Linked DNA regions of Arabidopsis thaliana. The protein of the gene in region 4 binds, or shares a complex with, the protein of the main gene of each other region. Each region holds a gene or a part of one and is shown on either strand. Other genes may lie near its edges. The genes, in order: AT1G60900, SKIP, SR45 and SCL30A.

Region 1 (8,969 bases), on a different chromosome or scaffold from region 4:
CTCCTCTCTCCGGGGACTCAAATCGCAATCTTAGCAACTCCTCTTTCTTCCCACTCCCATGCTTCTTTCTACTCTTTCGGTCATTCCTCTGTCGATCACGTTGTCTCCTCTCTCCTTCACAATCAGCATCCATCTCTTCCCACAAACCAAGATAACAGATCAGGGTTAGGGTTTTGGTGGGAAGACCAAGCCTTTGACAGATTGGAGAACGTCGACGAGTTGAAAGAGGCAGTCGATGCGGTTTCGAGGATGTTGAACAATGTGAGGCTACGATTAGATGATGCCGTGAAGAGCAATCAAAGAGATGGAAGTTTAGTGATTCATCAGGAGGATGAGGAGGTTCTTCAGCTTGGCTACAAAGACACAAATCAAATTACCAAACTCGAAGGTGAAACTTCCGCTTCTGCAAGTTTGTTAAAGAACGTAGTGGATAATCTACACATTGATGATCGTTATTACTGATTTCAACATTGATCCTTTGATTTAACCAACTTACTTAATCATCATGTCTTGTTTATTTAGGCTATTATCTAATCTAGCTGTGCATTATTATTTTTTGGATTTTTTCGGTGTTTTGGTTTGGGAAAAAAAAAAGCTACTAATATAAAACCAAAATTTTGTTCAGTTTGATTGAGACTGAAATACATTTAATTAAATAACAAAAGAAAGGTTCATTGTCGATTTTATTAGCAAACAAGTCAGTTGTCCAGCCTTTGGTATGAAGAAAGGTGGCGATTAGGTCTTTGTACCGTTTCTGATTCTTCTCGAACTCTGTTGGCTCTGTCTCGGCCTCGTGGTGGCTTGGTACAGTAGTGTGTAATTCCACTGGAGATAGAGAAAGAGGATTTGAGAAACTCATGTTGTGTTCTTTTGAAGATGAGTGCTGGTCTCTGTGTCCATGAAGCTAGTTTTCCCATATATTATTGCTGCTATAATCGTAACTAAACCTATCCATAAACTTATCCATTAGATCGCAGGGAATGTTTCATTCTAAGACATGTAACTATTCTTATCTCTAGAGATTTCATACCAAACAGAACAAACGAAAAGAATTATCTCTAGAGATTTCATACCAAAAAGAAAATGAAAGAAACATAAATTCCTCCTAATGAAACAAAATTGAAATATAAGATCCACTAAGTTCCTTATGCACACATATTATGCACTGGCCTTCTGTATTTAGAATCATCTCTCTTGTTATAAATTAAAAAAAAAAAAAAAACCAATAATCACCAACTCAAACTGCAAAATACAACAACAAAGAAAAAGACCAAGAAGATTAAATACATCATTTTTCGGTTTCTAAACAATGGCTGCACACAAAATGAGTCTTACTAGTCTTTTCTTTGTGTCAATAGTGATTGTATTATCATTGTTCAGCGGATTCGGAGAAGGAAGATACATAAAATATAGAGCTATTGCAAAAGATAGAGTTCCAGACTGCACTCAAGATCCCAAAAATTGTGTCAGAGTTCCAGTCAACCAGTACCATCTTCCTCCTGGTTGTCAAAACACTACACATTGTTATCGTGAAAAGTATCATATTTAATTATGTATTCATATATACAAATCATTTTCTACTAAATATGAAAAAAAATTTATCACTAATCTACATTATTGATGTGATATGGAACTTGTTACATTATCAAATTTTAATTATTTTAAAATTCTTTCATTTTTTTTAACTTCAAATTATTGTTATATATATTTTAATAAATTATAAATTAATGTGTTATCAGGCATAACTTCAAGTTCGTGTAACATGAGATGTGTCTTGTGAAAGCATGACATGTAACTTTCGTTGTAAAATAAAATAAAAAACAAATGAGCTCAGATATGAGGCTATATTATCCGATTCATCGGAGAATTGCTAAGGACCCAACCTTAGCTTAAAGCAAATTTCATCAACGCTCAAATGCACCAGCCGGGAATTGAACCCGGGTCTGTACCGTGGCAGGGTACTATTCTACCACTAGACCACTGGTGCTACTTGCCTACTATCTTACTTTTCTAATATAAATCCAGTATTTCACGTTTAGTGAGAGCAATTGCACATGTTCCAGCATTGCATTTAGAAACTGATGTGGTTTGGTCTTTTAGTTTTTAAAAGAACAATAATATAAACTGATGTGGTTTGGTTAGTGTTCAATGAAACCAAAAGCTACTATTACCAACACACACCTTAATTGATTGTGCCTGGACAAGTACTATTGCAGTCAGATTCTAGACAAATTTCTCCATTTAGTAGAGAGAGAACTAAACATGTAAAAAACTTAAAAATAAAAAAGAACCAAACTTGTTGCTAAGAGATCCAAACTAAAAGCTTAAGAAGAAGACGATAGATAGCTCAGTCTTCGTAGTCGCCTTGGGCATACTTGTCTTCGGGGTAATACACAGCCACTACTTGGTTTCCTCCAAATTTTCTTCCATTCATCCCCGATCTGGCCTTTGATGAGCCATCCACATCCGCATACTCTAAGAAAACCTGCATTAGTATTACCATTAGAGTATGCAATTTATATATGAATTTGGTAGACATTTGTATCTGAGGACTGAAATCTAACCTTCCCAACTCCTGGTGTTGGGTCATGATCTGGATTAGGCCTCGGAATCACAACATTCACTAAGTTACCTACACACACAACAATGATTTATCAAAGTTCATTTTAGACCATGAGCCTCAGTAATGTGCTATTGGTATAATGTCAGAACAGACAATAAGAAAATCTAATTGCTTACCGAATTTTCCACCTTCTTGTCGCATGTCCTCCATTATCTCTGCATATTCTTCATCGTCTCTAAGATCATCAGCTGTAACCACTTGAGTCAAACAGACAATCTTGGTGGGAGTACCTCCTGGTTGGAACATAAGCCTCTGCAACAAAGTTTGAGACAGATTTAGCATTACTGATCATTTAGATAGAGTGAATCAGAATCCTTTACCTGCAAAGCAATCTGTTGTTGGGCATAAAGTAAGACTTCTTCTTGCTCGGGTTTAGGTTGAATTGCACCCTGGATTGCACGCCTAACTGTAAGTGTCTTATCACCCATCTTAATCCCGTTTAGAGCGGCACATGCAATATCTGTTACTGACGGATCTTGGTAAACACAGAATGCATATCCCTTCGAATTTCCAGTCTCCCTGTCTTTGACCAAGTTGAAACCTCTTAGGGGCCCAAAAGACTCCAAGAGCTCCCTGATCTGTACCTCTGTGAAGTAATAGGGAAGTCCGCCCACAAAAATGCGGTCGGGACCCTCAAGCCCACCAGTAGACCCTGAAGACAATCCAACAGCCCCTAAGTTGAGGTTGGGATTAGGCTGGCTCGGACCAAGAGTTGCAGCAAGAGACGGGTTATAGTCAGTTGGCCTCCTCACCTTTACAGGAACTCCCTAGAGATGAAAAAAGCTATGATTTCAGATAGGTTTCAATACTCATAATACAGATTGTAACTAATAAACACCAAACATCTAAAGTGTAGAAGAGCTAATAAATCACCTCTAATATAATGCCGTCTAATGCCATTGCGTTACTAGCCTCCTCAACAGATCTCATCTCTACAAAAGCAAACTTCTTTTCGTGGTTTATATAAACATTGACCACCGCATCACCTATGAATTAATAATCCAAAAAAAGGATGAGATTTCGTATAGACTTGCGGCCAATATGACAAAAATATAATGAACTTTTCAATACCTGGCCCAGCAGTGTTTCCCCCAATGGCCGACATCACTTGGCTAAAGAACGTTGACACCGACTAGGACATGAAAACCCATTCTCAGTAGGCATACAATGGATATTGAAATGTGGTTTAAATAGACAATAATAAACAAAAAGTCACAAAACCTTAAACAAAACAAAAGTAACAAACCTGTTCATTAGCAGTTGGTGGAAGGCCACCAACATAGACTCGCCGAGCATGCCTAGTTGCCTGCGACTACATATTTTAGGAAGGGAATCGTGACAAAAGGTGAAGAACCTAAGAATAAGATAGATTGATAGATCGTACCTGTTGAGTCATTGCCTGAACTGGCAGTACAGGAAGCGCACCTAGTTGCTATGTGAGAAAAAAGATTGAGAAGTTCTGAGCATGTTCGCATAAAACAAAAGAAAAGAGGAACATAAGAGACACAAAAATACAAATTTTTATACCTGACCAGGGACCATTGGAAACATGTTTGAGAACATCCCTGGAATAGTAGCAGTAGTTGGCACACTAGGAACCTGGCCTGCTAGGTAAAGTAGTATGCGTCATAAAAATGTTTGTTAGATACATTATTATGTTTCCCGGAGGAGCAGACCTACCAACAAGTACAAAGCTACAGATAACACCTTGCTACTTACAAAACCCACAAGTAGAAAGTATACCAACAACTTATGAATATTAAAATGAAAAGTTGTGATGTAATATTCGTTTTAGTTGTCAGAGATTGTAAGGCTCGAAAACAGGCATATAGTTGCCAGTCGAAGATGAAAAATACCCATGACAACCGTTGCACTGATTCCTCCTTGTACAATTAAAGCTAGAGAGGTCGGCTCATTGTCAGCACAGTGGGGCAACTAACCCAACATAGCCTTCTTACTACAAAAAGACAAGACACAGAAACAAACAAACACCACCAAAAAAACACAAACAAAAAATTTCTCAGTTCCAGAACCACCAGTCAAACAAAAATAACAAGACATCCTATGAAGAAAGCAAGACTTCAAAGTCCTCTTTGTTCACGAGTAAACAATAAAATTGCAGCTTACCAAAGTCACACCGTGTAATTGACTATGATCTTTCCAAACTACGTAAAATCAAAAACAACAAGCAGTTAAGAAATATAATAACCCTGAGTAGATGATGAAGCAAATACCTGCTGCAGCAACAGCAGTAGCAGCTAACATATCAGGAGGCGCCATATCAAATCCACTTCTCCTCTTGCTGAAAGAGCAAAATATAATTGGTTAGACATCAGTAGAGACGAGTTCGAAAAAATAATGCCAAGTAAACGTATGAAACACACATAAACATCAATGACCCAGATCAGACTAAAATATTGGTAATCATATAAGGAGGGACCGTTCAACCCAGTAGAAGACCATGATAATCATATTGTGTCAACAAAACAAAGACATCAAATACTAAACAATAATGGTTTTATTTGATTTGACATCAATATCATAACACATTGCAATGTGGCCACGGAAAGAACTAGTTAGAAAAGATAAAAATAGCAGGAGAGCCCAGGTACCTCTTTGACCTTGATCGCGACCGTGAGCGTGATCTATGTTCAGACTTATGTCTATGTTCTGACCTTGACCTACGTTCAGAGCGGCTCCTTGACCGAGAGCGTGACCGTCGCCTGTGTCTCACCTCTCTGTCTCGATCGCGAGACCTCCTCCTGTCGAGAAATGACTACACCTTCAATTTTAAGAATAAAACAATCTAAAACTACAAAAACAATTGCAACACACTAATGAGTACCTATCACGGTCTCGACTTCTGCGATGATGATCATCATCCAAATCATCTCTTTTCTCACTACGTTCTCTGCTACGGTCCCTATGACGATCTCTATGATGACGGTCTCGTTGCCTATCCTTACTTCTCTCCCTATCCCTATCTCTATCTCTGCTTTTCTCCCTATCTCTGTCTCTGCTCTTCTCCCTATCACGATCCTTCTCACGATCACGATCTTTGTTTCCGTCTTTATCACGTCCATTTTCATTGTCTTTCTCACTGATTTTCGAAGAATCCTTTTTAAGATCATGAGATTCCTGCAGGAAACAAATGTCAAAAGGCTTCTCTCATATACTATCCCCAGATTTCTAAAGAGAACATATGAACTTAACATGATAATATATACTCTAAATCCAGTGAATCCTTCAAATCAAACTATCAAAAACATAAATTCAACAAGCAGAATCCGAGAATTGTACCAAATTACAATACAAGTGGAGAACAAATTATGATTACCAGTCTAATTCACGAGAGAAACCTAAAAGCTACAGAATCGAACGCAAGATATGTAAAGAAGAAAGTGTAACATACTCGAGACTTGGAGTCTTCATGAAAAGGCGAGCTCTCTAGAGATATGTAGTTCTCGTTGTGGTTTTCGGTGGAGATAGCGACACCATCTCCGTTGCCTTCGTAACTCATCATCCACTTGTGATCTCTTCTCCGATTGGTACTTATCGTTGAGTCTGATTGTGTATGGAAGAAAACCCTAGGGATTCTAATGGAGGATGAATTAAAAATTATGAAGATTCTTCGAGGAAGATGAAGTGATATATGGGTATTATTGTAAATTGAACAGTATTTTTTGGTGTTACACCAAAACCGTAAATGGGCTTGTCTAGTCCAAATTTGAAAACTAGGGTCTCATTATACTTAATGGGCTTATCAGCTTTATCGGCTTATAGTCTAAATTTTTAGTTTCTATCACCAAAAAAAAAAAAAAACTAAATATTTTAAAAATTGATCATTCTAATATTGTTTTACATTATTATTTTTTGTGTAATTAAGGGTTGATTATTATTAGATGTCTTTGTTTATGACTTTTTAAAAGTGTGTTTTATAAGTCTTTATCTGATAGTTTAAAGTCACATATGTTTCTAGGCGTAACTAGCAATTGAAGATGAAAGACCACGTTAAAACATCACAAATATCTCCGGCGTTTAGAGGTTTCTCTCACCATGGATCAAATTCAATTGTTGACACAAAATATTACAAAAAAAGAAGAAGTTTAAATTAGCTTTCATTTGACGGTGGTTTGAAGTTAAACGTACTGATGGATTGGAAAAACATACGATTCTAGTGAAAACAAGTCAACCTAACAACATATATTGCAGAGACTGGTCCACACTCGATCCCTTCATGGACCGTAGCATTCACGGCCAATCAATCTGTTCATTGAGTTTTGACTAGTGTCAATAATTCATAGGATTTTGTTTATATGAAATAACTTTGATATGAGTCAATAATTCATACGAATTTGTCTTTTTCTGTGCTTCTTGAAGAATCCTTTTCAAGATCATGAGATCCCTGTTTTAAAACGGAGATGTCCAAGGCTTGCTTCGTCATAAGTACGACGAAAAGTAAAATGCAATTATATCTTCGAACATCTCTAGATCCTATTATTAAAACACTTAGGGTTACTAGGAATAGATTCATGTGGAGTGTGAATTATGAAGATAGATATTTAGGAGCCCATTAATCGTTTAAAATTATGGCCTCATTATGATTCATTGGCTTAATAGTCTTATTTTTTATTTTATTGTATCCCAAATATATACGTTTGGACACAACCAGTTTTACGGTAGAAAGATTCGAAACATCCCCATATTTTTATAATTTGACTACCATAATATTGTAGAAAGAAAGCATAGCTATTAGAGACTAGTACTTACCAGTTTTTTTTGGGTTATTTTATTTTTAGTTCTAAAACTAAGATAGTTACAAAAACAGATGATTCTAAATATTATTATGTAAATTCTAAATTGATTAGCATTAATTTTAGTACAAAACCTAATAAGCATCATTACAATAATGAAAGACTGCAAGACCATTGGATTGCTAACTTATATATATATATATATATATATATATATATATATATATTGGGTCTTATTAATAATATAAAAATTTACAAGTTTTTTACCTGGTAGTTATAATGGTAAGATGGTACATAATGATGTATAAAAAAGAAAAAGAAAAATAGTACAGAAAAACTGTAAAAAAACAGTGTAACAATTTTGATATTTGATTGATAAATTTATAAATTGTAGAAATTGTAGTGCTTTGATTTTGTTCACCAATCAAAGCCATTGTTTGTTCAGTTTGTCAAACAGTCGACAATAGAAACAGTCATAAAATGGTGTTCTGATGTTGGGCCCAAAATTTTCTTTTTAATATTACCCTTAATTTTAATATCCTTTTCAATTGGATTTCTCTTTTGGTTTCCTTAAGGCAAAATTTTTGGTTGACTAGAGAAATATAGAAGAAAATAGAGAATGGGGGCAGAGATGCATGAATGATGAAAGTGATGAAAAAGGACGAGAGGGAGAAAAAGAGAGATAGATGATAGGTGATGTGACATTGACAAGTGATGGAAACTATTTAAAAAATAAATTTGGTGAATTTGAAGAGGTAGAGACAACGTAAAAGTTTTATATTCTCCTAAACAGTTCTATTTTGTGTTTCGTTTATATTTATACTCCTATTTCTTTTCTTTTACTTTTTGTTAAAATATATTGGTATATCTTATAATTGCACAAATATAAAAACAATTATAATCACAATCCTAATTCCAATAATAACTCATAACAAGCTTAATTCTATAAATTGAAGCCAACATATAGCATAACTACTTAAATAGCTAGCACTATAGCCACTTAAATGTCGATAGCTTGGTAGATAGATGGACGTTCTAATCGTTCACAATTGTTGTACTGACAACATCCACTATTCAGTATCTTGACAACATCCACTATTCACTATCTTGAATTGCGGAATCCTTAAATTTCACGTTACTTTGATCACCAAAGAATGTTTGAACAAGAGATTTTATGATCTATGAATATGTGACATTATATTTCGATTAGCAAAAAAAAAAAAAAATCACAATTCGGCCACAACCATACGCTAACAATTCATTATGATCTTAAGAGATTACAAAACAATTCATCAATCATAACACACAATATATATATTAACATAACAACAAATCAATTAATTAAAATGAATACAACACTGGTTAATCAACTCGAACTCTAAATTGTTATCATCTCTCCAATCTTTTGAACCCTTAGCCTTAAATCAAAACTTCTCTTAAAGTAAGATTGCTCTTATGGATGAACTCCACACACGCGAACCTAATTTAAACCGAGCTCAATTTTAATATTATACCAACAGTCAACACACAACAACAATAATATTCGGATAACTTATACAATCTCTCTAAATAAAAACAATAGTTAGATGTAA
Region 2 (7,651 bases), on a different chromosome or scaffold from region 4:
TATCTGAGTACTTAATTTACTAAATCTAAAACTGCAATGTCAGGTGTTGTTTCTCAGTGAGTGAATAAAATAGAAGGATTAAGGATCTAATTAGAAAAATTATCTTGATCTTCTTTGTTATGATGTTACATTTTTCGAACATGTAGAGAAACAAGTTTCAAAATGTCGTTGAAGCATAGCTATAGGCAGGAATCTTAGCAACCTTCTTCGTCTTCATCAACTTCCTAACTCTCTCAACATCTTTCCACATCCCTCTGAGTGCATACACATTAGCCAAGACAACATAAACACCATCGTTCCACGGCTCAAGCTCAACCATGTATGGAGCCACCCACTCAGCCATCTCAACATCCCCAAACTTCTCACACCCTCCCATCAAACAACCCCAAACCATCACGTTAGGCTTCATCGGCATCTCCTCAACAACTTTCTTTGCCTCCTTAAGCTGCCCGTCACGGCTCAATAGATCAACTATGCATCCGTAATGCGATAATCCCGGTTCTAGCTCGAACTCTGACTTCATCATCGCAAAATATGTTTTTCCTTCCTCCACAAGACCTCCATGGACGCAAGCACTGAGAACTCCAACGAACGTGATCTTGTTTGGTCTGACACCGAATTCTCTCATCTGACGAAAGCATTCTAAAGCCTCTAATGTATTCCCGTTAGCTGCGTAACCCACGATCATAGAACTCCAAGAGACAACGTTTCTCTGTCGCATTTCCTCGAATATGTGACTCGCTAAATCCATACGCCCACATTTTCCATACATATCAATGAGCGAATTCAGCATCATGATATCAGACTTCTCTTCGGTCTTAGCTTGTAGAACGCATTTATGCAACTGAAAAGCCAAGCTCAAGTCACCTAATCCTCCACAAGAAGCAGTCACACTAACCATAGTGAAATCATCAGGCTCAAGTCCACTCCTTTTCATATCCACAAACATTTCCACCGCCTCGTTAGCTCGACCAGCGTGATTCAACCCTCCGATAATGGCGTTCCAAGACCCCAGCTTTCTCTCAGGATTTTCATCGAACACCTTACGTGCGTTCTCAAATTCCCCTGCTTTACAATACAATGTAATGAACCCACTCTCGCAGAACTCATCTCCGACGAACCCTAACCTAACGGCGACGGAATGAAGCTCCTTTCCCAACGTAAAATCATGAATTTGAACGGCTGCTTTGATTACAATCGGAAGAGAATATCGATCGGGTAAAACAGTCGATCTCACCATACCGAGATATACTTGAATTGCATCGAGAGGAGACTCATGGCGAATGTAAGATCGCATGATGTTGTTCCATAAGAAAGCGATCGGATATTGATCGAGGATTCGTGAACGGAAGATGTCACCATGGATCCGACGAACACGAGCTAGGCTAGTGCAGTTTGATAACAGAGTAGCTAAGAGTTTGTTTCGATCTTGAGGCGAAAGAGGCGTAACCGAGGAAGATGATGTAGTGACGAAATGATTCAAACGGTGAAAGATCGTGAAGTGATTTGTTCTCTTAGTACCATGAACATGAAGCTTGGAGATAAGACCAGAGAAGAACATGTGTCTTTTTTGTTGTTGTCCTGATTCAAAACTAAGATTCTTAAGTACACAAAGTTGTAACAGTGAAAAAGAAACTAAAATAAGCTCAAAAGATCTGATATTATGAAGCTGAAAGATTGTATTCGAGTAGTTTAAGAGACTCACAACAACATAAATACTGATAATCCAAAGCAAACTGTTTTAACAGATCCAAAATAACAAGTTATATATTGAAATCAAAGATCAGTTACTGAGCTTTTTCTTTGTCTTGACTTTTAACGCCGGTCACTGCGTTCGAAATTGATCTTGGTTCGACCAGAACCGCCGTGGTCATCGTCCCTTGAAGAGCTACCACCACCGCCACTTGCTCTCATAGTTCCACCAGACCCGATCTTGTCCAAAGGTTTCTTACCCTTCTTTAAATCAGAAACCCACTTCTCAAGACCGAAAGGATCTTGTTCCTCTTCCTTCTCAAACTCAACAGGTCGGTCTCTCTTACTACCCACCCTCTCTGAAGCCCCTGTGAAAGCTTTGTCAGGCTTAAACCTCTCAGTATTCTTGATCTTATCGAGCTGCTCATCAGCGTTTCCATACATTTCTTCATCGTTATCCTTCTTTGGCTTGTACAAAGTCGAAAGAGTTGGTTGTGCAGTGAACAAGCCTTTGTCGTATAAGTTGTATTGGTCATCAGCAGCGAAACCAGAGTCCATTCCTTTGTCTTGGTTAAACAGACGTTGATCATACATAACTTCACCACCACCTTTTCCTCCAGTAGATGCCATTCCAAGAGCAACTTTCTCACTGATGTCACGGTCTCTGTCTCTGGTGATCTTGCTCTTCTTCCCCATGGCAGCATCTTTGGCATCCAACCTTCTCTCCCTCTCTCTTTCCCTGCGACGCTCTTCTCGTATCTTTTCTCTCTGAATCCTTTTTTCCCTCTCCTCCCTCGTCTCTTGAGGCTCTTCCCTTTCTCTTTCCCTTCCTCTATCCTGGTCATAGTTGTCATAATCACCTCTTGGGTCAACACTTTCACTCCTACCCCTGTCAGATGAGACAGGCATACTCATAGCAGCACCGGTTCTTTCGGAGCGAGCTTTTTGGGCAAGAGCCCTCAATTCCTGCTCTTTCCTTTCCTTGTCCTTCATCACCATCTCTTTTTGCACCTTGGAACGCATTGAAACAGCCTCTCTAGCTTTCTGCTCAGCTACATAGAGGGCCTCTGATAACTTGGCAAAGTTATCATTGATCTGAACGTCTTGTAGGCCCCTTCCATCAGCAGCTAGACGTTTGTCAAGAGGGATTGTGTAACCTTTCGGATTCTTCCAATTGGAGATACAAGGAGGGATTTTCCAGTCTTGCTGGTCCTTGACGGTAACAGGCCTGGGCGGTGAATGCATGACCGGAACAGGCGGAGAACCAGAAGCCCTTGGGACTCTCTTGTGCTTGAACTTTGGTGGATCAAGTGGATCTACAGGCATCTCCACCATCCTAATGATCCTCTCTTTAGCACCAGAATTGAAGGCAGAAGATTGCTGGGATGGCTTATATTTAATGTACTGTGAATCTCCCGATTGCCTTGCTATATTACTAGGCTGCGCTGCACTCAGTCTCACATTCACAATCTTCTCAATGGCAGCTTTCGTTTCTTCAGCAGTCTCCTGAATCTCCTTCTGCAATTCCTCCTCTTCATCAACAACAGTACCCAAGTCTCCCTCGTTTTTCAGAAACTTTGGAATAATATCCTTATGCTGAGAATAAACAATCTTCCTCGAGTTCTCATTCTGCCTCACTATAGCGTCAAAGACCACGTTTCCCTGAGCATCGACAGTAACAGGGAGAGTCTTAGCTCCAGGCTTATTGGATTTATTCTTACCCATAAGAAGAGGATACTGAGGAAGATGAATCTCCGGGAAAGCACCACCATCGCCAAAATCCTCTGGATTCTTCGGACGTAAACCTTGACGATTCAGGTAAGCAGGCACCACTTTAAATTTGATACTGGAGGATTTCACCGTCTCGGATTCAGTGACTCGGTTTTTGAACCAAGCATCATTAGAATGATCATAATACGTGGTAGTGGTTGATTTGGGCGCAGGAAGATCATTAAGAGACTTCATAGTCTAAATCAAGGTTTTCAACAAATCGCAACCTGCAAACAAAGAACAATAACGATCAGGACATACCTAATCCGTAATTACAACAACAAGCTTCTGATAATAAAAGTGACAGATCCTCCGAAATTAGGGTTTTCTAGCGATAAACTCGACGCGAGCATTAGATCCCGAATAATTCCGATTAAAATCTGAAAAATCTGGGTTGGATTCACTACAATAGAGCGGAAAACAAGTAGGGTTTAGGAATCGCTGAACATAGAGATCGACAAAAACCTAAAAACAACAGGAGGAAAGCAAAAAGCAGAATTGAATCTGAGAAATCGAAGAAGCTAACCTCTGAGGAAACTAATCGACGGGAAGAGAGATTCTGAGAAAGGTGAAACGATGTGCGAGGCGGCGCAGACCGATGAAGAACAACGAACGGAAGTGAAGCCTTTTTCTGGGGAAAAAAGAAATCGGGCGTGAAGCCTTTTCTAGGGTTGATAGGATTAACAACAAAAAAAAGGAATCAATTGTCTTATACGCAGTGTCTATGTAAGTCGGTTTAAAAATAGACGAAAAAACGAAAAGGATAACGTCGCCTGAGAGATTCGAACTCTCGCGGGCAGAGCCCATGTACTTAGCAGGCACACGCCTTAACCACTCGGCCAAAGCGACTTATTGTTTTTAAATCGAAGAAAGTTATATATATAACTATAGGTGTTGGCTTTTTGATATATACAACAATTCTGAGCATCTCATAATTATTTGCATTGTCCTTAATGAAAATCCGTCTCAAACACATTCCCATAGTTTCGTTTAAAATACTGAATTCAAGGTTAAAAGAAAAAAAAGTATAAGAATTTGGTGTTGGTACATCTCAACTGGTATACTGTTAAACCACCTCGAAAGGGAAGGTGAAAAAGTTCAGAATTCAAGTACCAATAGAGGAAATACTAGTTAGGCTTTGGTTTGTCTATCAAAACTCAAAGCAAGTGTAAGTTTCATATCAACAAACTTTCTTCTCTTTCATTTTTTTATAAAAAAACAATAGATTGATGGCGTTAGTTTGATATTTAATGAACCAATTTATGTTTTTCTAATCAACAACCAATTTGTTTGATATAAGGTAAAGAAACAAAAATGATATGAATGAACTACGTAGGCTATGTAAATAACGACTACGAGAGAGACTTAAATGTATGGTGAGAAATATTATTAAACATATATGTGGCCATGCGGGATAATGGGAAGGTTAATGGTTTTGCTTCTATGGAAACAACGGCATGGTAGTTAGTTTCCAGTTTTGGTGGACAACTTGGCGTGGTTGTGTTCAACGACAAACTATGGTCCTTGACTCCTTGCATTACACAACTCAAAACTCGGAATATACTTGAGTATATCATATGCATACAATTTTCAACTTTTTCTGTTAAATCGATTCATGGATTAGATGAACTATTTTGAGGGCTTTTCAGCATTCGATTAGGTTAAACGGCTGTTGCGATTATTATTTGTTTTCATAGGAGCTTATGCTATGAACAGTAATCATATAATCATTTGTATAAAAGTGTCTATTTCTGATCTAAGCACAGTAATTCATATTTGTTTAACCCCAAAAGCAAAAAATCATACATCCGTATATATATTTGAGAAAGGAAAAAACAAATAAAGACCGTGCTCGTGGGTGGAACCTCCGTTGACCGCGGATCCCAATATAATGGCCTTTTCCTACGGGATAGTTAGATGCATTACTAATTAACGTAACAATTAATTTTGATTCAAATCAATGTACGATGATTATAATAAATGTGTTAATTTAATCAACTTATGAGGCCGGTGTTGATTGATGTTTTCGTTGAGAAGACTCACCCAATACTTAGTTGATTTAACATTTTTTTTTTTTTTTTGTTACAAAGGTATTAATTTCCCCATCTAAGGATTGCGTATGAAAAAATATTTGTTCAAACATAATATAAGTTCGTTTTACAAAGATTAAAAATGAATAAAAAAAAGGTTTTAAATTTCACATCGTTGGATTTGCATATGAGTTAGTGCATGGACATGTTAAATTAAGGGTCAAGCCATTAATTATGTCTGACTAATGCAAACAAAGTCAAACAAGAGGAAATGATAAATAATCCTTAACCTGCAAATTCGTTTTGGTAGAACGATAATCTTTTACTTCTCTGGTACAAATTGTTTTTAATTAGGGAAAGAAAATGAGTTTCTATTTTTCTTCTCAAAAGTGTATTTCCTAAATATTGCATTGTACTTGTATTTCTCATTCACTGTAAACAATAATTTAAATTGAAAAAGTTGGTTATATGAAGCTAACAGTAGAAATTTTGTGAATTAAATACAGAGGGTGATAATAAATACCAAGTTGAAAAGATTCAATATATGTCAACTAACAAACCATCTCAGATAATACTTTTATCTACCGCTACTTTGATATAAATAGTTTAATTCTCAAATGTTCACCTAAAGTATAAAAAATGGTCACCTAAACTATATAAGTTAATTAGCAAAATATAAACAAAAAACCATTTATCGTCCAATCACAATTGGCGTGTTCGTACAAAATATCTAGAAGATCCGATCAAAAAAAAGAGAGCAATAAACATTATATGGTACTATCAGGTTTAATCAAGTATATTAAACTCTGGTCTGAATCCAATAATTAAATAAACTTCAGAGGTTTGGAGGCTAAATGTTTTTAAAAGAAGAGATTATTTAAAAATAAAACTAAGGAAAAAGGGGGCCAAAATTGGAAGAGTCGAAAGGTTCAGCCATCGAAATGCCATTTTCGTCGCTGTGGTAATAAAAGCTATAACAATTATTAATATACCAAGGCGAACTAGGTGGATACGCCGAGTCAACGTACACAAACTCGCTCAATGACTCATCGTAACTCGTCTCTAGACTCGGTAACTCCACTATCTCGCTTAGTTCTTCCGCCGTCGACGCAGCTTCTTCGCTTGACGGTGACAACGACGATGACGTACACGTTGAATAGCTCGAGGAAGACAACTGCGTCTCAGCTGGGGCGATGACGGTGGTTGGATCGGAGACTACGAGAGAGGAGGAGGAGGGGGAGAAGTCCATGGCGGCCGCTACGGCGGCTGCGGCTTGAACGTCGCGTGGAGAGGAGGAAGCTGGACGGGGAAGGTAAGTGGCGAGCTCCGGGAAGTTGAGGACGGCGGAAGTTCCTTTAATGGTGAGAGCAGCTGCGTCATGTGCACGCGCCGCCATTTCCGGTGTGGAGAAAGTGCCTAGCCAGATTCGGCTCTTCTTGCGAGGCTCTCGGATCTCGGAGACCCATTTGCCCCACGTTCGCATCCGGACGCCTCGGTAACCCGGGTCGGATCTTACACGTTTCTTGGTGTTGGTTCGGTGGGAGTCTTGTTGGTGATGATGATGATCCTCCTCCTCCGGCACCGGAGACGATTGTTTGACGGAGATAATGGATGACTCGGTCATTGACACGTGAGTTTGACTCAGTGAGTGTGAAGAGAGTACGTACGTAGGGTTTATATAAAGACTAGAGAGAGAGAGAAAGAGAGTTGAAGTATTGAAGTGAAATGTTGAAGTTAGTTAGAAAAGGACAGTCGATCGCTTACTTATGATGACAGGTGTGTACACATTATAAATTCACACATCAATATTATTTGAGAATGACCCATTTTTTGTTTTCGTTTATTTAATGTTGATATTTTGCATTCGGCAAGTAAATGTTTATTTATCTCTTCGTGATAACCTATGCATGGTCCATGTATGAACTTGATCAATTCAATGGGGTAATAACATTCCCATTCGGAATTGACTAGGAACTTATATTTTTGTTTTGTTAAAATTGACTAAGAACTTATGCAATAGTAAAGGGAGAATGGGCAGAAAAAAATCAAAAATATGTTTAACCTATTATAATGTGTCCATGAGCTTATTTCAACTTTAATTTTAATGGGATAGTAATATTTCATTAGGAATTATTTCCAAATATGCTACTATGAGTTCA
Region 3 (7,717 bases), on a different chromosome or scaffold from region 4:
TCACCTCACCGGTAGCAGAAGAGAGTTGTAAAATTAACCACAACGTTGTCTTCTTTCTTAACACTTGCATAGTCTCTTTCCGTGTAAACAAAAACGAAAGTGGTTATTTCAAAATTATTGGTTCCAAGTTAGAAATTTGACTACATATTTATATATATTTTTAATAATTACTAATCATCAATTTACAATTAGAAAACGGAGATTATCCTCAACACTCTCTTCCAAAGATTCAATACATACAGGATCAGAGAATGGTGTGTGTATTTATTAGATTATAAAAACAGAGTTGTTGCTCTGTTGTGCAGGAAATGACAGGAGTGTTCATGAAGAACTGTTTTCTAAACTATGTTACCTACAGAAACATCTTCCCCATATGGGCACTTGCAGAGTGGTATGTATATTTATTTTCTTTGAGTGGTATGTACTGTGTGAAGTTGAGGAAAACTCTATTTTTCGTTTTAAATAAAAGTTTGTGCACTCTCATTAAGATGCATGGTTTGATGCAAAATTGTTGTTGTGCATCTTAGGAGCCCTTAAATTATAATTATTTATTTCTCTGAATGAAACAAAAAACCAATTTCTTGTGTATTTGGATCACCAGTCTTTGTATGGATTTCTTTCTCTTTTAACTAAAATAATAAGAAAAGGGTGAAGGAGCCAGCCATTCTTCAACAAGACTGAATATATTAGGGAATTACAACCAGCTAAAAGAACCAAGTCATTATCGTTGCATCTAATGAGGAGATCCACAAAAGAAGATTAAACATCCAAACACTACAAAAACCACAACTCTCATTTGGTCACTGGTAAACATTTTATCTGTTCTAAGAAAAGAGGCTGAGACAGATGATAACGATAAAGATGGAGAAAGAGAGCTACATCAAGACTCAAGTTTTTTTTTTTTTTTTTTTAATTTTTATCACCTTTAAGTTTTACGAGGTGGAGGTGGTGGTGGCGGTGAACTGCTGCTGCTGCTGTTACTGCTGCTTCTTTTTCCTCTCAGTGGCCTAAACATACCCAACAACAACCCATTTTCTTTTATTAGACTTCAACGCAAAAAATTTCTACACAACAATTCTATTTTTCTCTGTTTCATCACCAAACTCACCAAGAAAGTATAGGTCCCAGATGTTTATGCTATGTCTTTTATCAGGAATTGGGGTAACCCTTAACTTTACTATACATAACTTAACATTGGAACTTCTTCAATTAATGCATTCTACAGACTATAAAGTGTTTCCAGTTTAAGACGAGGATTAGTGTTAAGACAGAAAGTGTTTACCTCTTAGGACTGCGGCTCCTTGAAATCTTCCTAGGAATCTGTAAGGTTTAATAATGCACAAATGATAGAAAGTCAAGAGTCAAGACATATAACTCGCAAGGCATCAAAAATTTTATAGCTAAAAAGGGATCTGCAAGAAGCCCTTACCCTTCTGGGACTTGGTGAACTAGAGTAAGAAGATGACCTCCCACGTCTCCCAGCTGGACCTCGTCCCCTGCTTACAGTTAAAGACAAAATTAATTCATGAACAAACCCCAGACGGATCTATATAACTTAGTCATATTGGGTATCAACGTCTCTAGGAGCTGGTATGTCAGAAACCTAGGTAAAAGGATAAGACAATGTAGGATCTTGGGGTATACTCATGAATTATGAAAGACTTAAAAACTTGTTATGAATCAGTCTTAGCTATGCATCTGTAACAAAATAAAACCCACGAGAGAGACCCCAGAAAAAAGTTTAAATGAGTTCCAACATACTTGCGGGGTGAGATGGAACTTGAACGAGAGCGACCAGGCCTACGAATTGGGGATCGGCTACGCCTACGGATTGGAGATCTTCTGGGAGGACTGCGTAGTCTCCTTGGAGGTGGAGACCTGAAACACGCCGAATACAAAACATATATAAAACTGACACATTTTTCCCGGTCTAATTTACTGAGTAATATAGTCTATAAAGCTGTGATTCCTAAACTTCGATTACTAAGGGTGTAATTCAGGTACCAAATAGACATACCTTCGTCTTAGAGGAAGAGGAGACCTTCTTCGAACAGGACTGCCACGAATTCTTCTAGGGGAGCCCCTGCTGACAGATAAAAGGTGAGCTATCGAATCTGAAACACACCAGACAAAACAGATGGTGCCATAACTAACCTTGGAGGAGATCTATATCGTCTTGGAGGGGGAGAAGATGGAGAACGGCCTCTAGATGGTGATGCTGGCCTACGTCTAGGAGGTGTATCACCGCGACGGCGGATAGGAGAGCCCGGCCTCCGGCGATGGGGAGAATCAGGTGATCGCCTTCTAGGTGATAAGCCTCTCCTAGGTAGAGGTGATCGCCTTCTCGGAGAAAGCCCTGTTTTCCGTTGAGGAGATGCTAAGCACATATTGATGATACTAATTAACACAACATAAAGCATATACTACAACAATTATAAATAACCAAAATATAAGGATTTGACATACTCTCTCTTGGGCGCCTGGGACCACCATCTTTCTCAGCGTCAGCAGCAGCATTATCAGATTTTGGAGCATCTCTTTTTGGTGCAGCTGAGACAGGTTTAGGGGGTGAAGATACTTTCTGACGAGGTGGTAGTGTGAACGTTGCTTTAACAACCTTTCCATCAATTTGGGCCTGTGTTCAGTGAACAAAAAAAAAACATGCATAAATCTTCTCTGTCAATATGTCAAGTACAGTGCATTTCATAATTGGAAAGAGACATACACCATCCATGTAGAGCTGAGCTTTCTCAGCATCAGCTCTTGCCTTGAACTCAACATAACCATGTCCTCTTGGAAGATTAACCTGTTAATAATATTCAAAGGAATTATGAGCAGATTTCAACAAGTGATGCAAGTAAACAACAGAGAGTAAAGAGAATAGCAACTTACAGCTCGATCCATCGCAATTTCGACATGTATAACTTCACCAAAGTTGCCTAATAATAACATGAAACCAAGCCATGTTATAAGACTTAACATTTAGCCAACACAAGGAAAACAAAAGACCAGTGATGATCGTAATGCCGTATACACTACTGATGACATTAGCGGACATGTGTAGACAGTTATCATGTAGTAAGATTAGAAGAAGCAGAAGAAACAGAGAAAAGAGAAATCAACATACCAAAGATTTCTTTGAGATGGGCTTCATTCACATTCCTGCTAAGAGAATCAACATGGAGAACAAGAGATTCTTGAACAGCTTTCCTGAAAGCATAAAAGATTGTAAAGTCAGTAATGACGAAAGCATAAACACTAGAATATATTTATGTGAACGAGTCAGATATTACTTGGAAGGTGAAGATGCTCCTTTAGATGGTGGAGGAGGAGGAGAGCGACCTCGCCTAGCAGGTCCAGCAGGACTACACAAGAAGATACATCAGAACATCAATTCGAATTCGAGCTGAACGAACCAAGAAGAATGAAAGCGAAATTACACAAATCCAATTCGAACAATTGGTAAGTGATTGAAAGAAACCCTAACCTTTTTCCACGACGTGGAGGACTGCGACTCCCAGAACTGACGCTTCGCGAAGGAGATGAAGATGAAGAGAGCGATCTAGAACGGGAGCGTGAGCGGGAAATAGACCTGGAGGGGCTCGAACCCGAACGAGATCTGGAACTGGAACGAGATGACGAGCCAGACACGGAGGGGGAACGACGGCCACGACTTGGTTTCGCCATGGGCGAGAGATATCGAGAAAATCGCGAGAAACCTTGCTTCAAAACCCTAGCGGATAAAAAAGATTAGAGGAGAGAGACAGACAGACAGACTGTGACTTTTTTTTTCCAGTCTCCTTTTTTTTTCCGCGGACTGCAAATTAAACCGAAGATGATACGTGGCAGGTTTTTATTTGCTTGATAAATTGAGGGATTTATATGTTTTTTAAAGCATTTTATAAAGTATAAATACCATAATGAGCTCAATTTGTGTCCTTTCCCATTTTTCATATCAGATTTGAATGTGTCACTAATCAAAAGTTCTTCAAATCCTACAGGAAAATTCAAACAGAAAAGCTAGTAACTCCCATAAAAAATTCAACAACTTATAAAATGTTGTAATCGATTGTCTGTGGTCGTGTACACCATCCAATTAGGATCAATTAGATACCATTTTTCTATAGCTCTCTTGTTGTCCCATAATTTGTTGATATTGTTGTTGCCTTGGTACAAACTTAAGAGCAATCTCAAAATCAAAGTATCTTAGATTGAATCTAGTCATTGAATAACACCGAAACCATTAAGGTTTATTCATACATCTATATAGAAGTGTCAAATGGTCATCTGACCATGGGCTAAGCCCAGTCCACAACATTATGGACAGTCCATGGTCGGCCCGTAATGAAAACGGGCTATATGGTCTAAAGACCAATTTTGTCCATGGGTTTAATGGGCTAGCCCACACGGTTTATGGTTGGCCCATCAATTTTTTCAACACATAAATTTTTTTCTCTTCTCTCTCTTTCGGCAACGACGCTCTCTCTCCCGGCGACAAAGCTCTCTCTCGGCGACGACCAAGCTCGACCTCTCTCTCAACTCCTACTCCGGTTAGTTCTACTAGCTTGTGGGTTTGTCCAAAGTTCAATTGTGAATTTTGGATATGAGGAGAGCTAGCTAGCAAATGGGCACTTTTCAGATTTTGTTTATGTTTCGCCATTTCGAATTTCATTATGAATTGAAGCACATCAATATGTAGAGACCCTTTGTGTTGTAAGTTCATGCTTAATTATTCCAGAAGGCTAGTGATTTAGTCAAGTTCATGCTTTATTTGTTTATCACTGCTAAACGTGTGTATGTCTTTATTTGTTTCAGAAATATGGAATTGGATACTCAAAACTTGGTTGATGAAGACAACTTTAATCTTGAGGATCAAGAAATGGACCATGAAGATCCAGAAATGGATCAGATACTACCTCATGAAACTGCTTCTTCAGGGACAGCTGAGAGAGGTAAAAGTAGTGTAAGTAGATTTCGTGCTGCATGCTGGAAAAACTTCGATAGAGGACAGAAATATCCTAATGGGAAAACTGAGGTTACATGCAAATATTGTGAGCAGACTTATCACTTGAATCTGAGACGAAATGGTACTAATACCATGAATCGTCATATGAGATCTTGTGAGAAGACTCCTGGAAGTACACCTAGAATTAGCAGAAAGGTGGATATGATGGTCTTTAGAGAAATGATTGCAGTGGCTTTAGTTCAACATAATCTTCCATATTCGTTTGTCGAATATGAAAGAATTAGAGAAGCCTTTACATATGCTAACCCTTATATAGAATTTTGGAGCAGAAATACTGCAGCTTCTGATGTCTACAAGATTTATGAAAGAGAGAAAATTAAGCTTAAGGAAAAGTTAGCTATAATCCCGGGTAGAATATGCTTAACAACAGATTTGTGGAGAGCTTTAACTGTTGAAAGTTATATTTGCTTAACAGCTCATTATGTAGATGTTGATGGTGTTCTGAAAACGAAGATCTTATCTTTCTGTGCTTTCCCGCCTCCACATTCTGGAGTAGCTATAGCAATGAAGCTTAGTGAGCTGTTGAAAGATTGGGGAATTGAGAAGAAAGTTTTTACTTTAACTGTAGATAATGCTTCTGCAAATGATACTATGCAAAGCATTTTAAAGCATAATGCTTCTGAAAATGCATTCTTATACTTAGTGAGAATTTTGTTTTGTTGGTCATATTTCAGGGGTTTTACTCTTACTTTTCTGAAAGAAATGGAACTGGAAAATCACCATTAGATATGTACTTGGAAGAGCCTGTGTTAGATATGGTCTCTTTTAGAGATATGGATGTTATTGCATATTGGAAAAACAATGTCTCGCGTTTTAAAGAATTGTCATCGATGGCATGTGATATCTTAAGCATTCCGATCACTACCGTGGCATCGGAATCAGCTTTTAGTATAGGTAGTCGTGTGCTTAACAAATATAGAAGCTGCCTTTTACCTACTAATGTGCAAGCCCTCCTATGTACTAGAAACTGGTTTCGTGGATTTCAAGAAGTTGGTAATATTCACATCTTGAACTCGTTTATAATAGTAAACTTATATGGCTTTTGGACTGCAGCTTTTAGATTAATAGCTCGGTTTTTCTTATTGAAGAAACTGATGAGATCCAAGGTCAAGAGGACACAAACACCACCCTTGCATGAACGTTTCAAGACTGGGAAGAAACAAGTACATGGTTGTTCTCTTAAGCTCTGAGCCTATGGTTATGTGTTTATTATTCTCAGTACATGGCTGATTTGATGATGTATGTCTTTGACAGATTGTTATAGGTTGTGATGGTATCCGGTCTAAGGTTGCAACTTGGATGACAGATTTTGGTTTGGAATTGATTCTGGATTTTGTCTCTTACTTATAATCATTTGTGATTGATTACATTGTGGAAATGTTGTTTAAGCTTATTGTTTTACCTAAGCTTATTGAAGATGGCCACTTCTGGTTTCCAATTTCTAGATGTTGGAGTAGTATTGAAATGGGTTTCTCTGTTAAATCATTCTCCATGTAGCCATTGTAGGCTTTTTTCTTTACTTGTAGGTGCATATAGAGAGTCTTAGATGCGTGTTTGAGTTGTCACGGTTGATTACAAGACTGGGAAGAACAGGTACATGCATGTTTGATTTCATGTTGATGTTATGGTTTTATAAATAGAGCTTTTGACGAGATTGTGTGAAAATGCATTGTATATAAACATCATTGTATGGGCTGGCCATGGGCTGACCATTGGACAATGGTCTTTAATGGTCTTGGACAAATTTTTAGACCATTGTCCATTAAAGACCAACCAATAAAACCCATGAAAAAAATGGTCCAAGTGGACATGACCAATGGGCTTTGGACAGCCCAATTGACACTTCTACATCTATATAAACTAATCTGATTTATCATCATAAAACACTTCCAACGCCATTTGGTCCTATTCTTGCAAAACCTTTTACAATCATGAATCATGGTGTTTGAAAATTGTCCATCGTTTTTGCAAGATACAAAGAAGAGGATTCAGATAACATGAACAATATTATTAAAACTAGGCCACAAGGTTGGGGTACAATGTCTTAAACAAATAGTAAAGCCAGAAACTTTAAAGAAGAGAATCAAACCTACTAATTAAGAAAGCAACATACTAATTAAGCTTCAGTGAGATGGAAAAGCCTTCCTACAAATCAGTAGATCATAAAGTCAAAAGCTAATTCTAACTCATTGTCCAGAATGTTGATGGTTCCTGATCCTGCTTGAACGTCTCACAGGTGTTATCATCTCTTTCTCTTCGTGACCACTTCTCTTTTGTATCTTCTCATATGTTGTGAAACTTCCATATGAAACAGAACCTATGGAGTACTCTGATGCAGAGGAAGCCATGGATTCACCGCTATCATTACTCTTCTTGCCTCCTCCTCCGCTTTGATGTTCTTTAAGATCATCTTTCTTGTTGCTGCAGCTGTGTAATGGTTTGTTCTTACTGAAGCTGAAACTCATCTCAGAAGGGAATGATGATACCTCTCTTTTTCTGTCATCACCAACTTCTTCTTCTTCTTCCTTGAAATTCAATGAAGAAAGCCTTTCTCTGATCAGATTCTCTACTGGCACATGCTCGACAACTTTAGTTGCAGAGATTGCTGTTGGTTCGCCATCTTCATGTTGCAGCATCACAGGTTTTGTCTTCTTCTTGGCTAATAGGAAACCAGCTGCTACTGCTGCAAGT
Region 4 (7,612 bases):
TTTGTTAACCCAAGCAGCTGCAGCTGAAGGAAACCGTCCGATTTTGAGGATTTCTTCATTGGTTACACCGACCATAACTTCGATGCTAGTGTTGGCAAATGCTTTGAGCATATGGCTATTAGCATCATAGAGACGGACGTGTGTGATTTGTTGTGATTTGAGAAGTGTTACAATGTCTGAAGGCGGTGGCATGTTGGTGAGATCAGTGCCAATGTTTACACCGATAAATGCAGCTGTATAAAGAATCAGATTAACATTGAGAGTCTATGAACTTCACCAAGTAATAAAAAAGTAAACTTAGAGATAGATATAACATGTGAAATTTACCGTTTGAACAGGCAAGAATTGAAAGTAGGAGCAACAACGCTTCTGCAAACCATCTCGGAAGCAGCATTGGAAACAGAGTGCTTGAAAACCTTAAACCTACAAAAACTCTGAAAAGGTTCAAAATTGAGCCATATGCTAATGATTTTAACAGAAATTTGAAACCTAATATAACAATGGATTGTAGATTTCTCACTCTGAAGTCAGAAAAAACTGTTGTTTTTTTTTAATCTTTTCAGGAGAGTTATAATTGGTCAAATATGGTAAGAACCCTAAAAATAAGTAAGCAACTTTTTTTTTTGGTGAATTCAAGAAAGCAATTTTAGATAACTATCTCATGGCTATTAAGAAAACAGAGGATTTCCGACAGAAGTAAACTAATGGGGTCTGGAAACTAAGCAACGTTCTGAGAACAGAAGGGGAGAAACAGTAAACAAACTCATCGAGCATTCGAAAAGACACAATTTTTAATCTTTAACTCTTTTGTCGTTTTCGTTCTTTCAGACATGTGCTCTAGAAACTGGATTTGCAGAGCAAGGAAGAATGTGGAAGATACAATGAAAAGCTAGCGAAGACAGCAATGTGAGACAATGAAACACCCAGATGCAAAATCAAGAAATTATATACAAAAGTACCTAATTGGAGCTTGCCTGGTTCTAGATTCACTCGGCGAGAATTCAGATCAGAGAGAAGAAATTGAGAGAATGAAAGAAAAAGAAGCCTCGAGGTTTTGCTGCTGAGAGACAGAGAACAGGTTCAGAGATGTTACTAGTGTAGTGAACCCACCGAAGAGGAACCCAAAAAGTAAACACTTTTTTTTCTTGTCTTTCGGCGAATATTATTTGTCGAAATTGAAAGGAAATGGAAAAGAAAAAACAAAAACAAATTAAGAGATTGATTTGCTCTCAGTAAACTTTGGTTTCATCTTTCCTTATATATAATGCGTGGGAAACCAGAGAGGTGTGTTTGTGGAATAGAAGGTGAGGGGAGGCTTCAAAGTTCAAAGAAGCTCTAAATAAATTATTAATTACCTCAATGTGTCACACTAATTATTAATTAGCTCAACTTGTCATCCAAACCCAAAAACAAAAAGGAAATGAAAACATCATTTAACTACATATAATTTGGCCAATAGTAAAAGACATGGCATATACTATAGCTCACAAAACATCAAATACAACTAAGTTTTGCATTATACTTTTTAAGAAAATCAAATAAAACAGTTCAAAAATATTAACAAATATTTTAAAGTCCGTTAACAACTAATAATACGGCAATATTCCACCTTCATAATAAAAGAATACTAAATTAACAAATAAACAAGAAAACAAGATTGTAAGAGGCTCGATTACCACGCTCTTCTCATTTTCTTTCGTTTTATACCAATTTTTATTTAAATATAATCTTGAATCAAAAGAAAGATTCGTGAGTTTGCTAATTTCATGTGCATGACTCCCAAATGTTTTCTTGGAAATGTTTCTTGCATGCTCAAATTGTTCTTGATTTGGCAGTTTCTTTCATCACCGTTAAAAATGATTCAGAAATATATATATTCACCATTATTCGGAAATTGATAGTCTTTTAGAATTGCCTAATTAAGTTTTCGTATATATTTATTTTATGGGATCATTAAAATAGCAAACAATTGTTTCCAAATTTCTCCAAAACGAAGAAAGAATTGATTATCGACATTATCGCCGTGCATTTCGATCCAAGCTTAAGTGCTCTACGGGAAAACTGAAAATTCAAAAACCTGCGACGACCAAGACTTTTGTCGGATCGAGAGACTCAGACAAGTCAACAGAAGAAAAAATTTCTGGCTAAAAGAACAGAATCGTTAGTAACACTCATATACCATATGACCACTTGTAATTAATAACTTGACTTGTCTCAGGGTTTGGATTTTGGAATAAAACTTCCAATGTTAAGAGAAAAAACTAAAAAGTAAGAAACCGTTAATCTTGGCATTTTGTTTGAAAGAAAGAAACAAAGTTTTTTTTTTCTTAGATGCTTTTTGGAAAAAGAAAGCAGAAGAAAATAGCTGGAAAGTGTTCAAATGCCGATTCAAAACAAAAGGAGCCTTACGTCAAAAAGCTCCCATAATAGGACCATCTTTTTCACCATAACAATGTTAGATGAGATCTAAAAAGATAAGATGACAAATAACACATGCTAATTCAAAATACTGTCTCAAGATCATCCATGGATCAAACATAAAGCAAAATACCAATAGCACTACAAATATCTGTCTAAGTAGGGAAATATCAATCTGAGGCAAACAAAATATCTGATCAAACAGAACAAGACTGAAAAACTGAAGAGTAGAGAGATATATGGTGTAATCATAAATCACTGGCTTGGAGAACGGTCTCCATTTTGTGCTCCACGAGGGACTGGGGTCGGGCTCCTGCTCTGCCTAGGGACAGGGCTTTGGCTCCTTGCTTGTTCTGGCGTGTAGCTCCTGTTTTTTCTTGGGCTCACGCTTCTTCTTGGGCTTCTGCTGTGGCTCTTCACTCTCCCAGGACTTCCACTGCGAACCCTTGAGCCATTATGGGGTGGTGAGCGAGAGTATGACCTCTCCTTCTCATATCGTCTATCCTGAGGTGAGACAGACCTGCCATAAGACAGAGTTGGAGAGTAGAGGGTGGTTTAATCCATCAGTTAACTGTAAGAATATCTGTCAGTATGAATTTCACAGGCATGCAGAGCTAGTTACCTAGATTGATGTCTTTTAGCGGGAGGAGAATTATAGCCGCGGCTACGTGATCGTGATCTACGACCACGGCGAGGAGGAGGAGACCGAGAGTACCGAGGAGGAGAACGTCTTCTGTCCTGGAATCTGTTGCTCCTACAAACATGAAAAGATACAAGTTGAGATCAAGTCATCTCATTGTATAGACAAACTAATGCTTTTTTCTAGGAAGAATGTCAATTCACCTTCCACCTCGATCCCTTGTTCTCATCTCAGTTGGCTTCTTCCGGTTTTCTTCAGCAAATACGACAGTCAACTCACGACCAAGAAGAAGATAACCATCCATTTGATGTTTAGCCTCAGCAGCATCAGCAGGATCCATAAACTGAATGAATCCAAACCCCCTTGGATCTCTGCAACAAATCCAACAAACAAACAAAAAATCTCAGCCTAGAACCAAAAACACAATAAGCAAGAAAGATGTACAGCTTTGACGAGAAGCCTGTAGAAAAAGTTGGCATTACAATCTCCTGCAATAGAAGCCATCGTTATAAACATGAAAAAGCAAGCACTTGCCTGCAAACCTTGCAAGTTTCAGTATAAAGATGACTTCTCCAAGACTTGATATCTCTTCAAATTGAATTCAAACCCAACTTCCTTCCAACCTTCACTACCATTTAGAACATCTTCCAAAGAACTCTAATTACTTCATTGGTCTCTTCAACTCTCTAGATTCACTGTTAAACCTCAACAACTTTAATAAACAGACTCGAAGTGTGACCGAACATGGAACATATCACTGTATTCTTTCCCTAAAGTGACTCGAAGAGGGCGAAGTTTTAGGTGTACTAGACTTAAGCTGAAAACCTAAGTGTAGATAAAACAAACGTTTCAAGGCTCCAAATGTGATTTTGGGAAGATTGGATATAAAACCGGACATGTTTGACATAGACCTTTCAGAAAATTCTTATAAATCTAACAAATTCATGAGCTGCATACGATGGAATGTAGGATTCACAAAAGGTGGTTTACGAAGCAAAAGAAAACAATAAGAAAGAGACATAGTCTAATTGAAGTAATGTAAAATTATGCCCTGGATGTATAAACATTCAATGTCTTATCTACAGAGCATCCTCACCCAGTATAGTAATCCCTAGGAAGGTAGATGTCCTTGACGGGACCAAACTGCTCAAATGGCCTCCTGAGGTCTTCTTGCCTGGAGAAAAGGTCAAGAGAAAACAGAGTCAACCAATTGTAAACAACTGTGATTTTCTAGTAATATGGATACACAAGTTTATGCATGCGCTATCTAAAAATAATGAAATATACGTTTTACATGCTTCTAAATCAGTTTTTGCCACACAAAAAAATCCACCAAACCAATCTTTGATGATGAGTCATACATCAGCTTTAGGAAAGCCTTTTAGACAAGGCTAAACAAGTAATGGACTCACGAAAACTTACAAGGAAACAAAATCATTGAAAAGAAATATATAATTTTGTGTAAGAGAGAAAAGAGTAGTATACACATGCAGTAGTAAAGAATATACCTGCAATCATGACGTAAGTTGCGAACCAAGAGACTGGTTGGGAGATCACTGTCACGACTCCCACCAAACCGGCCCCGAGGGCTAGGGCTCCGGCCCCTCCTTCCATAACCCCTTGGTGGTGATGGCGTGTAGCTCCTTCCTCTCATTGTGTCTAGACTTTAATATCTATATCAATCAAGTAACCAACAGAAATTGAGTCAGAGAATGTGCTAGATATGATTGAATGATTAAGAAATAGAAGAACCACCGCAGAAGCTTACACACATCTAGAGAAGACTTCAAAAAAGTATAAAACCAAATTTGAATTCTACAAATTCCAAGCCATAAAACAATTACTGAATGTGGATATACATCTAGCTAATAATGAGTTTCAAACTAAGAACTAAGCTATCGGAGAACATCTCAAGTAACAACAAGAAAGATCGATCCTAAACAAGAATACAAATTTGAGATCAATTCAATAGACCTTAATTAACCACTGCCGATAAGATAAGACGACGAAGAAGAAGAAAGGAGAACAGATTAAGCATCAAGAGACTTACCGCAGCTAAGGAGTTGAAAAGAACGACGGACGGCGAAGAAAAACACAGGGGAAGCGGCGGGATATGTATCGGAGAAAAGAGACAGTGTTTAGAGAGAAAGTGTGAAACCTAGTTTTATGGTTTTGGATCTTATGGTCTGAAGCGAACGGGTCATTAGGGTTTTTTCTGCAATTTTTTATTTTATTTCCTTTCTTATGTATTGTCTACAAATCCTTTCGTTTTTCCCTTTGTCAACTTTTGCCCCAAATTCCTTCCAAACGTTTAGTTTTACGCACCATACTTTCTTATATTACATGTAGACCCAGTTAATGTAGTTTTTTTTTTTAAAATCAACAGATCCATTAAATGTAGTTAATTTCTTAACTTAATTGTAAAGTTTGAATCTTGTTCTTATGAGAGTAATTTAGAGGAATTTAAGTATTGGTTCAATCTAACTCTTGTGATAGAATATGAGGATATATCTTATATTAAGCCGGTTTATTTTGATCGTTTATCATTGAAATTATGTTTGGTTGATTAAAAAATGAAAATATCTAACTTTTTTTGTTATGTATTCTACACTAAAATTTGAAATCACTTGTTACTCTTACAATTTTATGTTTTCCGTATGTGTGTTTCGACAACTTCTCCAATCAAAATGCATAATAATAAATTAATCGATTTAGTTTTATTCCAATCACTTTGTTACTAACAAAATGTGTTCTTGGCATTCAAGAGACATTAGCCATACATTTTTCTTTTTTTTCAAAGAGAAATAATAGTAAAGTTCATATCAACGATTTAAATATATGGTCAAATTGAATGATATATCTAAGATACCAATTTGAAAGAAAATAAACTAAAAAACTGTTAAACTATTTTAGTCGAGTGGTTCATTCATCTTTGAATTTAAGAAACAAAAAAGTTGATAAGAAAAGTTTTTGAAAGTTAAAAAACATGTGAAGAGAGTAGAAAATATAAACCAAGGGTCTGTTTGTAAAGCCGAATTATCTGAGTCAAAACAAAAAATATCGCAACTCTAATAGGGTAAAAGCGAAATCATAAAAACATAACGAAGCCCTAGTCCAAAAATTTCTCATACTATAAAATGATTTTTTTTTTTGCTTCGCTCCCTCTTTTTCACTTCGTTAACGGCCCCGCCTCCACTCTATCCTACCGCCGACGTCCGTGATCGCCGGTTAGTCTTCTTCTTTCTCTTCGCCCTCTCAACATACATCGTTGCAGAAATCAATCGTGTTTCGAGCTGCGCGATTGCATTGGTCAGGTTTAGGAAAGCTATGTGTGTTTTGGTAGTGGTTCGGCTTTATTTGGCCTAAACAAATCTAGCTATTGGTTCAGAAGAAGGTGGAATCCTGAGAAAGCTCTCTAAACAACGCATGTGATCTAGCAATTGGATTACTTTACAAAAATTAAGAGTCTTTAAGGTGCATAACCTGTGTGATAGAATGTAATTGGATCTATGACTTGTGGACCATTTCCTAGGTTTTTTAAAAGATTTTTTCTGATATGTATGACAACAGACACGAGGATTATGCTAGTAATTGCCTGAAAGTATTGATTTTTGGAGCCTAAAACCTTTTGTATCATTTTGGTGAAAGGTTATGTTTCACTCGTGTAACACAATTCCATTTCACTTGTTACATTTTTATATATGTTTTCACTTGCATTATCTAAGAAGCTGGAATTCTTGCTTTGATTTTATTAGCAGTAGCATCTAATTTTGTTTGTTTTTCAGTTTCTCTCTTCAGGAAAAGTGTAGTTAAACGATTGAGTATTCCAATTTTGTTCTTTGGCTATGTAATTTACAGAAATGACTGAAGCAGAGTCCAAGACTGTTGTTCCTGAGTCAGTGTTGAAGAAGAGAAAGAGGGAGGAAGAATGGGCACTTGCCAAGAAACAGGAGCTTGAGGCTGCCAAAAAGCAGAATGCTGAGAAGAGGAAACTCATATTTAACCGGGCTAAACAGTACTCCAAGGAGTACCAGGAGAAAGTATTTTTCTACAAGCTTAGTTTGCAATTTTTTCTAATGTGAGAAATGCAAATTCATTGAGCGTTTCTGCTACTTGTTTTCTTCAGGAAAGGGAATTAATCCAGCTGAAGCGTGAGGCAAAATTGAAAGGAGGCTTTTATGTTGACCCAGAAGCTAAACTGCTTTTCATTATCCGTATCCGTGGGTAATATGATCTACTATTACTATCTCCCAAGTATAAGGATGATGTGTTACTTCTATAACTGTTTTCTCATTTTTCTATCTATTTGTTTCTATCATCAGTATCAATGCCATTGACCCAAAGACAAAGAAGATTTTGCAACTTTTGCGTTTAAGACAGGTAACAATCTTATGATGAGAACTTTGTAATATGTTAACCAATGATACAAAAGGATCGTATCTGACACTTAAAATCATTTATTGCAGATTTTCAATGGTGTGTTCTTGAAGGTCAACAAGGCAACCATTAACATGCTTCGCCGTGTTGAACCCTATGTAACCTATGGGTACCCCT

What was found.
Region 1: SCL30A (region 4) and AT1G60900 share a complex: the UniProt entries of both Arabidopsis thaliana proteins name them as parts of the spliceosome.
Region 2: SCL30A (region 4) and SKIP share a complex: the UniProt entries of both Arabidopsis thaliana proteins name them as parts of the spliceosome.
Region 3: SCL30A (region 4) and SR45 share a complex: the UniProt entries of both Arabidopsis thaliana proteins name them as parts of the spliceosome.

The regions. Positions count from the first base shown.
Region 1 is NC_003070.9:22,421,185-22,430,153, reverse strand, and holds AT1G60900 (U2 snRNP auxilliary factor, large subunit, splicing factor), read right to left. Parts: upstream 6,261-8,969; 5' UTR 6,147-6,260; coding exon 6,036-6,146; intron 5,762-6,035; coding exon 5,469-5,761; intron 5,386-5,468; coding exon 5,236-5,385; intron 4,926-5,235; coding exon 4,858-4,925; intron 4,228-4,857; coding exon 4,151-4,227; intron 4,056-4,150; coding exon 4,008-4,055; intron 3,930-4,007; coding exon 3,870-3,929; intron 3,756-3,869; coding exon 3,695-3,755; intron 3,610-3,694; coding exon 3,497-3,609; intron 3,391-3,496; coding exon 2,944-3,390; intron 2,876-2,943; coding exon 2,740-2,875; intron 2,633-2,739; coding exon 2,565-2,632; intron 2,486-2,564; coding exon 2,348-2,485; 3' UTR 2,101-2,347; downstream 1-2,100. Other genes in the region: AGL55 (AGAMOUS-like 55), read left to right, coding at 1-462; AT1G60913 (Rapid alkalinization factor (RALF) family protein), read left to right, coding at 1,310-1,549. UniProt on the Arabidopsis thaliana protein: Necessary for the splicing of pre-mRNA.
Region 2 is NC_003070.9:28,997,976-29,005,626, forward strand, and holds SKIP (chromatin protein family), read right to left. Parts: upstream 4,161-7,651; 5' UTR 3,989-4,160; intron 3,866-3,988; exon of another isoform or gene 3,690-3,865; 5' UTR 3,658-3,689; coding exon 1,816-3,657; 3' UTR 1,602-1,815; downstream 1-1,601. Other genes in the region: AT1G77170 (Tetratricopeptide repeat (TPR)-like superfamily protein), read right to left, coding at 158-1,561; AT1G77200 (Integrase-type DNA-binding superfamily protein), read right to left, coding at 6,382-7,116. UniProt on the Arabidopsis thaliana protein: Splicing factor involved in post-transcriptional regulation of circadian clock and flowering time genes. Associates with the pre-mRNA of PRR7, PRR9, ELF3 and GI, and is necessary for the regulation of their alternative splicing and mRNA maturation.
Region 3 is NC_003070.9:5,675,000-5,682,716, forward strand, and holds SR45 (arginine/serine-rich 45), read right to left. Parts: upstream 3,854-7,717; 5' UTR 3,688-3,853; coding exon 3,488-3,687; intron 3,366-3,487; coding exon 3,294-3,365; intron 3,211-3,293; coding exon 3,128-3,210; intron 2,940-3,127; coding exon 2,893-2,939; intron 2,807-2,892; coding exon 2,726-2,806; intron 2,636-2,725; coding exon 2,467-2,635; intron 2,378-2,466; coding exon 2,155-2,377; intron 2,084-2,154; coding exon 2,018-2,083; intron 1,879-2,017; coding exon 1,729-1,878; intron 1,497-1,728; coding exon 1,430-1,496; intron 1,321-1,429; coding exon 1,283-1,320; coding exon of another isoform or gene 1,279-1,282; exon of another isoform or gene 1,188-1,278; coding exon of another isoform or gene 1,178-1,187; exon of another isoform or gene 1,008-1,177; coding exon 926-1,007; 3' UTR 849-925; downstream 1-848. Other genes in the region: AT1G16630 (uncharacterized protein), read right to left, coding at 7,213-7,717. UniProt on the Arabidopsis thaliana protein: Involved in 5' and 3' splicing site selection of introns, and may bridge the 5' and 3' components of the spliceosome. Isoform 1 is required during flower petal development and isoform 2 is involved in root growth.
Region 4 is NC_003074.8:4,426,891-4,434,502, forward strand, and holds SCL30A (SC35-like splicing factor 30A), read right to left. Parts: upstream 5,270-7,612; 5' UTR 5,109-5,269; intron 4,732-5,108; 5' UTR 4,713-4,731; coding exon 4,567-4,712; intron 4,233-4,566; coding exon 4,155-4,232; intron 3,430-4,154; coding exon 3,262-3,429; intron 3,173-3,261; coding exon 3,041-3,172; intron 2,939-3,040; coding exon 2,674-2,938; 3' UTR 2,366-2,673; downstream 1-2,365. Other genes in the region: AT3G13560 (O-Glycosyl hydrolases family 17 protein), read right to left, coding at 1-233, 328-394; AT3G13580 (Ribosomal protein L30/L7 family protein), read left to right, coding at 6,919-7,098, 7,185-7,282, 7,381-7,438, 7,525-7,604. UniProt on the Arabidopsis thaliana protein: Involved in intron recognition and spliceosome assembly. Binds probably to multiple 5'-GAAG-3' repeats found in its third intron, suggesting autoregulation of alternative splicing. May be necessary for accurate splicing of the 3' region of introns.